Arabidopsis thaliana: one gene and its partner. The protein of the gene in region 2 interacts with the protein of the main gene of each other region in a pairwise test. Each region holds a gene or a part of one and is shown on either strand. Other genes may lie near its edges. The genes, in order: AT4G23860 and LBD35.

The links.
Region 1: the proteins of LBD35 (region 2) and AT4G23860 interact in a two-hybrid assay, tested with the Arabidopsis thaliana proteins (one large-scale study listed by BioGRID).

Annotation. Positions count from the first base shown.
Region 1 is NC_003075.7:12,407,070-12,412,364, reverse strand, and holds AT4G23860 (PHD finger protein-like protein), read right to left. Parts: upstream 3,359-5,295; 5' UTR 3,200-3,358; intron 3,071-3,199; exon of another isoform or gene 3,068-3,070; 5' UTR 3,030-3,067; coding exon 2,946-3,029; intron 2,832-2,945; exon of another isoform or gene 2,582-2,831; coding exon 2,423-2,581; intron 2,324-2,422; coding exon 2,051-2,323; intron 1,964-2,050; coding exon 1,211-1,963; intron 1,119-1,210; coding exon 1,029-1,118; 3' UTR 687-1,028; downstream 1-686. Other genes in the region: LACS4 (AMP-dependent synthetase and ligase family protein), read left to right, coding at 4,102-4,256, 4,687-4,750, 4,839-4,928, 5,046-5,102, 5,179-5,227.
Region 2 is NC_003076.8:14,026,614-14,029,957, reverse strand, and holds LBD35 (LOB domain-containing protein 35), read right to left. Parts: upstream 1,277-3,344; 5' UTR 1,260-1,276; coding exon 639-1,259; 3' UTR 532-638; downstream 1-531. Other genes in the region: AT5G35910 (Polynucleotidyl transferase, ribonuclease H fold protein with HRDC domain-containing protein), read left to right, coding at 1-87; AT5G35890 (Beta-galactosidase related protein), read left to right, coding at 3,232-3,344.

The DNA of each region.
Region 1 (5,295 bases), on a different chromosome or scaffold from region 2:
TAATTGGATCGTTATCAAATTCTTCTTATCGAAACGAAACTTCGTGGAAATTTACAAAAGGACAACACAAGTACGTGGTGGTGTCACGGGGGCTGTCGTTACTCTAAGGGCCCAACACTCACGAGCTTCCAACTTCGATCTATATTTTCTTAAAAACAACAATAACTCATGTCGACAACAAAAAAACACTAATAAGTAATAACTGACCTAGAATTAATATTCGGTTAAGTGATTTCTGGCAAACTTTTTTTTTTTTTTTGGTCAGGCCTACAATACTATTTAATTAATTTTTGTCATAACAAAAAACATGATGACCTCACATGTAAACTGAATTTGGTTTTCCGAAGCCCAAAACCTAATTCTTAGTACTTTAGAAGGCCCAATTTATAATAGTTTTTTACTTTGCGTGTGTAGTTTGTAGTAGCTCTTCTTTTAGCATGCTCCATAGAGCTTCTTAAAGGAGCTTCCGGAGTTACAAAGCGGTATATTAACAATCTCCTACATCCAACAAAAGAGCACATGAGATTGCGAAATGTGTAATTGATGATCTTCGACTTCCTTAGTATGTCGCAAGACATTACCGATGTGTAATTGTTGCTCTGTTCCTTACCTTTTTGGCTCTCTCTCTGTTAATGAGTTGTTTTGACAATGGGGCATCGTTGGTTATAATAAAAGACGATAAAAAGCTCTCCTTTTAGCATGCTCAAAGTATTTCCGAGTCCAAGACACATTATGAAGATAAGAGTATTTACTAAATTCATATAAAAATAGTTGGAAAGATAAAAGTAAATAGTAGTTCTAGAACTAGTAGCTTATTATATATAGTAGTCGACTGTTTCATAAGCTACAAACTTCATGCACTAAAGTAAAAAGTTGGTTGCATTACTTAGGAAACTAAAGACAGACAAGAGCAGAGGAAGAGGAAAGAAACCTCCTCATTCTTCATTTCAAACCAACGAAACAACATATATCTAAAAAAAGTTAACATGAAATGTCGAAAGAAAGACTTACTACCTTTATAACTCCTCTCACTCCATCCTTTTACGTTTGTTTTTCAGTTTTGAAAACATTTGCTCGATATCTGCAGAAGTTATCGCCTTTGATGGCCCAGCAGACTCCTACAAAACCAACAACGAATCAAGTCTTTTTAAATGAAGTGGTTCCTGAGAATTGTAATCAAATTTCTTTCATAGATGGTGACAATATATACCATTAAACCCTGGAGTCCGTCTTGGAAGTCTTTGATTCCGTGAAGGAGCTCAACTTTGGATACGTGGTCTAGATTATTCAGAAGATCAAGTGCTTCACCTTCTTGTTTCTCCAGTTTCTCTGTTCTTTTTTCCTTCGCCTTCTTCTCGTATTCAACAATTGTGTCCTCTGCATCAAGTAGATAGCTTACCTTTCTCTGCTTATACATCTCAAGGCACTTTTCGCATCTGCATAGGATGTTCCTCCAGTTTTTGGTCAAAAACAAAGGTTTCTTCTCAAACTCAGGACACGAGTTTAGATCAGTCCTAATAACACAACCAGCTGCAGGAACATTTTCAGAGCCATCGATCTTCTCAGAACATTTCCGCACAACGAATTTCTCGGCTTCAGTACTGTTCTCAGGCTGGCCGGCTTCAGATTCATCGATCTTCTCAGAACATTTTTGCACAACAGATTTCTCGGCTTCAGTGCCGTTCTCAGGCTGGCCAGGTTCTGAGTCACTGATCGTCTCAGAACATTTTCCTACAACAGATTTCTCAGCATCAGTACCGTTCTCTGGCTGGCCGGGTTCAGAATCCATGTGGTTTTTGTCTAACTCAATTGTCTCTGAACAAGCATTAGCAGAACCAGTGGAATCTACTTTAGCAACAACCCACAAGTTCTCAGGATAAAGTGTCAGAAACGAACATGCTGGGGAGCAGTTTTGACAAATGAAATCTTCATAGATCGGCTCACTTTCCTCATCCCTTGGAATCTGTTAACATCACATAACAAATTGCACTAAGCGCCAACAACAAAAAAAATCAATCGTAAACAACAAGATTAAGCACTGGCCACAAACCTGGCTACCAACACTGTCTGAAGGTGTGAGACCGAGATGCTCCTCATGAAACCAATCCTCACAGAGACAACACTGAATCATCTCTACTTGTTCTTCCACATTTGGGTCAGGGTAAGGTCGGTCGCAAGTGCAGTACAAGCCTTTGAAATTATGGTTGTAAGAATTTTCAGAGTTTTCTATATCTTTGCTCGGGAGAAGCTTACAAGCCAAAGTTCCAAACTTTGAGTTCCCGCAATCACATCGAAAATTTCTCTTAGTCCACAGCTCCAAAAGCTTCATAACCAGAACAATGTTCAACCATTAGGAAACCAATTAACACTATGAAATCAGATTTCAAAATACATAACCTGGCTATATATCAACCATATTTACCTCATGGCCATCATGACAAGATAAGCAACAAGCAGTGCAAATTCCAGCATTCCCCTCTGGTGTACATGTAATGCATGAGAAAATTGCTTGCCTTTTCATGTAACCCTTTGGGAAAGTACACTCATCTCCTTCATCTCCACCCAACACCAAATCCGCTGCCTTAACATCAAGAATCACAAAAGCAGTTAATGAATATTAAACCCCTAAACCCAAATAACATAGGATTACAGAAACAGATACACACTACTGAAATTAATAGAAACTAATTAAGAGACACACACTATCATTACTAGCTAGCCAAAACCTCAGAGACTGTACAATAACAATCCAACACACTCCACTAGCTTCAGAAAAGGTAGTCAATTTAAGGTCAGAATCCAATTTCAAGACGTTTGTTTACACTTAAATCTAAACGATTTATCACCAACCAAGGAGTGAAAATGTGGAAGAGTATTAAACTTTCGTAAGGATCAGAAACATACATAAGCTTTAAAACTGATCAAGAGGAGAAAGAGAACATTACCAGCTCTTCTGCGTCAAGCCTTTCGATATATTCATTGATCGTTATAGTTCCTTCAGCTTCATCCTCGAAAACACCAGATGCCATTGTCGCAATTATTCTTCACAAATTCCCACCTGAATTCACTACTAAAAACATGAAATTGGGTAAAATAAAAGCTATTCGAAAGACTCAAACGAGATATTCCCTAAATTCCTTAAAAAAAATGAAACCCTAGATTATTCGCAAAACATCAAACATGTCAATCGGACCATTACCAGGTTATTGATGGAGTTCTCAGACTTGTAAAAGCCCTAAAGCTTTTCACTTTTCAAGACATAGATAAACGAAGGCAGAGAGAGAGAGAAATTGGGGAAAACGAAGGTGGAGCTTAAGGGTTTGGAAGAAAGAAGGATCTAGCGGATGTTAAAATTCTTAAATGCGAGAAAATTTATGTATGTTATATAAAGGAAGGGACTTTATCGACATTTTCCCGCCATTAACCCTCCAATTCTATTACCCTTTTCCCTCCACTATCAGCAACTAAGCATAAGCACAAGATAAGTATTGTTACTTGATAATGTACATGTTAATATTAATTTGTATCGAGATTAAACGGATATCAAAATCTCAAATTCTTGCTTATATGGTTTTTTATGAATTGAAAATTTATATTTATTTTTTTGTTTTGATAACTAATGTTTAACAAATATCATATCTGTGTGCAACTAGTCAAATCTATCCACAAACACACATACTAATAGAGTAATAAGCATATTTTTAATTATCGTAGATTAATTGATAACCTCTAAAAAAAAAATTAAATTGGGGGATAAAATATTGATAAAATCTAAAGTTATTTAAATCAAAATCACACACTTTTTGTTTTGTTTCTTGACATCTTAATTATAAAATCTAAATATTGGCTAATATAAATTTCAATTTGGATAATATGACTTTATTGGGCCTAATATGATGATACGTATACGGCCCAATAAGAGGTTGAATATGACTTTGACTTTTTCAGGTTTATGGTCAGTGAGTAGCAACCAATCGCAGTCGTAGTTGAAAGTCTCTATTAACTTCTTCTCCGATCTGAGAAAACGCGTCAGAAGTTTCTCGTTCTACAGATAGAGAGAGAAGAGAACGAGAACGAAGTAGAGAGAGAGAGAGAGAGATCATGTCGCAGCAGAAGAAATACATCTTCCAAGTTGAAGAAGGCAAAGAAGGTAGCGATGGAAGACCATCAGTTGGTCCAGTGTACCGGAGTATCTTTGCCAAGGACGGATTTCCCGACCCGATCGAAGGAATGGATAGTTGTTGGGATGTTTTCCGGTGAGATTTCTCGTTTAACCGATCGGAGTTTGTGTTGCATGAGCCTCGTTTCCGATTCTTGCTGAGATTTTGATCCTTGATCTGTTGACTGATCATGGAATTTGTTCTGACTTGCGTTTTTTGCTCTTTATGGATTCTCAAGTAGTAAGAATCGTATAGTTTAATTTCGTCTAGTGTTTATCTGGATTTGATTCATGTTTGTTTAAGTTTTTCGGATCGCAAGATCTACCTAAGTTGCTCTAATCGATAGAAATATAATTTGTTGGTTAATGATTTTGCCATTTGTCTATAATAACATCGTTTTGAGTGGCATGTGATTAATTAACAGTTGCATGAATTTGGTTGACATTTTTTGTTTTGCTTTGTGTGTGGTTTGGTGATATTTTGTGGTTGTTGACTTACATTTTTCTACTGTTATTGTTTATTGCAGCATGTCTGTTGAGAAGTATCCAAACAATCCAATGCTGGGACGCCGCGAGATTGTAGATGGAAAGGTGTTGTTACTGTTTGTTATTGATTTTGATTTTGTGATTTTCGTTTCATGTTATTATAAAATTCACTTGTTATTTTGATTGTTCTTAGCCGGGTAAGTATGTCTGGCAAACATACCAAGAAGTCTACGACATTGTCATGAAACTTGGAAATTCTCTCAGAAGTGTTGGAGTTAAGGACGTAAGATCCATCTTTTTCCTTTCAGATATCTATATTCAGTCTCATTATTTCCTTTTTTTGTCGCAATGTGATTATTCCCTTGCTTAATCTTGTGTTTCCTGATATGTGGGATATTAGGAAGCAAAATGTGGTATCTATGGTGCAAATTCTCCTGAGTGGATTATCAGCATGGAGGTAATTTTGCGGCTGAATCATGATTATGTCATTGATTGTGTTTTGTTAGAGGACTGACAGTGCACTTTTGATGTAGGCTTGTAATGCACATGGACTCTATTGTGTACCGTTATATGATACACTAGGTATGCCTTTTTTAGTATTTCCCAATATACTCTAGAAGGATAAATTCGCCAATAGATTTCCAGTGAGC
Region 2 (3,344 bases):
ACACAGGAGCAGTCAGAGTTTGGTCAAGGAAAACGGCGTCAAGCTTTTCCGGCATCCGGGAACCGAAGTATGTCCTTTAAAAATTGATCTTCTGGCAGTCAATATTGATTGATGGTTCTGTTTAAGATCATTTATTTGTTTTGGTTGTGGGCTATGGTGAATTTTATGTTTTGATCGTTTTCATTTTATCAACTTCATAACTCAAACTTTGATGGGACTTAGGGATACAAACTCTTAGCTCAAACCATCAAATCTGATTCATAGTTAAGATTATGAACCAGTCTCCTTGTGCTTTTATATATATATCTAGTTTAGTGTCTGGCTTGAAGTAGTAAAGTTCTTGTTCCAGTCAATTGTTTTACTCAACTTTCATTCTCAAGTTTTATCTTTCGAAAACTGAAGCTAATCTCTCATCTGATTGATCAAATAATCTATATGTTTTAAATGATCTTCAAATGTAATATGGTTATAGACTAATCAAAATAAAACGAAACATTATTTGAAGTTCAAATTGATAAAACAACCGAAATATTACATGAAGTTCTGACGAAATGATATAAAACAAAGGAAATGACACCAAATTATTATGGGAATTGAGATGCAAAAATAAAATAAACACAAAAGACATTTAATTAGAACTATGGTTGGTTATGGTTTTGAGGAAATGGAAGGGTCTTCTGAGTTGCACTGGTCCCTCCAGATGTTGATGCGCATGCATCCCCATGACCACCACATATCTTTATATTTCCTCTCTTCCTAAACATTTCATTCACTATAACTTGCGCATCAACAGGTGGTAGTTGCATAAGTTCCTTCTTTTGAACCTCATCTAGTCCCTCCATCTTTTCAATATAAGGATGTAAAGAAAACTTATTAGTCAAAAAATCAGCTGGCATAGGAATACTTGAATATTGCGGAACGTTATCAAGTCCAATGATGGCTGCAAGCTCATTCTTTGCAGAATTGATTTGTTCATCTAAATTTTGAAGCTGATTTTTGTAGTGGTTAAAGATGCCAACACAACCAAATATGGGGTCACGTTCAAGAGCCTCGGCCTCGTAACACAAAGCGTTTACAGCAGTTTCACGTTGGATAGGATCCAGATTAGCTAGGATCTTGAAGACATTACCCGCTCCAAATATTCTGTGAAGGCGTTCGAAAGTTTCGAGATTGGTCAATGGGAAATGTGGTGCAAATATACAATTAGGAGCACAATCACATTTCATGACCTTGCATGCAGAGCAACATGTGGAATTCATTCTTCTTCTTTTTTTTTCTCGCTTACCTAGTAACCAAAAAACATATATGAGAATAAAATCATCCAAAAAATTTATATATGCATATTTTCTGTATATTAACAATATGATTACCTCAAGAATCTTGAATATTCTGATATCACAAAAGAATTAAGGTCCAATAAATGTGGTTGATGTGCTATGGTAAAAAATGGTTGTGTGGGTTTTATAGTCAAGCCTTGAAACATTATTCAAGTTGTAATTTTACTTATTTAGGTAAGTTAGCAATGAATCCAATAAATATCAGTTTGATTTCTTGTTTATGCTTTTTTCTAGATAACTAGTAATAATATAATAGATTTGACTAATACATACTTCATTCTTTTGGCAAGATAATAAAATGAAGTAGTCAAGTCAAATCTATCAAATTATTACTAGTTATGGAGAAAACTCATATACAGGAAGTTCAATTGATAATTAATGGATTCATTGTCAACTTACCTAAATAATTAAATAGGAGTTTGATAGATTTTGACTAAAACACTTCATTCTTTTGGCAAGCTAATGAAAAAAAAATTCTTAAAAAAGGAAAATCTTTTTCAATGCATTGACTAAGTGACTTTCTATTGACAAAACCTAACCAAACCGAAGTTTCTAAACCAAACCAAGATCTTTGGTGTTTGAATCGGTTTGAGTAATGAGATCAAAACCGATTGGCAACAATTGTATATGCAATAGGTTATTTGTTCGGTCTTGTTCTGTTCATATTTACTGAGCGGCTAACCAAAGTAAAAACAAAAACAAAAACAAAAACCCTAATTTCCGCCTTTATCGCCAAATCGACAAGCCTTTCCGTAATTACTTTTGATTTTCTACATAATTTGAGATCTAGATATGTAAATCAATACCAGAATCATGCTTTTGAATTTTCAAAATATCTAGAAATAAGGGTTCCACAAGTGATGGCATACCAAAAGAAAAAAATTGTTCAAACGATATCCATCACCCCCATCACAAAAACTTTATATACTACAAGAAAACATGGTGAAATACTACCTATTTTCCTACGAAAAATTTGGTATGAAAGATATGAAATATTTCCTACCATATCTCTACGATTTTCTTACGAAAACAGATTTTGTAGATGAAAGATATGAAATATTTCCTACCATATCTCTACGATTTGTTATGAAAACAGTTTTTGTAGGAAATTAGTAGAAAATTTTCATACGAAACTTATCGTGAGAAAGTTATACGAAATTTCTACAAAATATATAGTTGAAGGAAAATTTGTAGGAGATTAGAAAGAAATTTATGGGAAAAGAAATGATAAGAATTGGGTCGGAAAATATCCTTTTAATTCCCTATGAAAACTATATTGAAGGAATTTGGTAGGAAATTACTAGGACGCGGACTAAGGAATTTTTTTATCTGGGTCAAATAAGATATAGAAAAATTGGTATATTTATAGTTTTGGAAAGTTGAATGTAATATTAGAAGAATCTGACAAAAGAAACGGTGACAACAAAATATATGGGCTACGGCCCAATAAAATATATGAGAAAAAATGGCAACAACGGGAATCGATCCTGCATTTGTGTGGGGGGGTGGGGGTGGGGGTCAAAATTGTAGCTTCATACCAAATCAGTCACCGAAACAAGATGAAAACTATTTAAGATTTAAACCGGAAAATTTCCTAAAAATCTCAAACTATTTAAAACGGGTTTAGGTAGTTTTCTGGCAGATTTTAAATAAGTTGGGTTTTTTTCGGGAATTTTCCCGATTTAAAACTAAAGGGTGTCAAATGACCCCTCTTTTCACCACATGGGTCCGCCATTGGGACCAACTTTTCCAATTTCCTACGAAAACATAGTCATATGTTTGGTAGGAATAAACAAACGAGACTATATCAGTAAGCTAAGTGGTTTCTCTCCCAAGCATGATTATCAAAACTTCTCCTCCGACTTTGTTTTCTATTGGATTGGCTTCTCCGACGATGTTGGCGGCGGTGTACGGCAGCGCTCCTCTTCCTAGAGGTTTCCTAGGGTTTCTCCTTTTGGGTGGGCCTCTTTTGGGCCTATTTGTTTATCTTCAGCCCATCCTTGGATT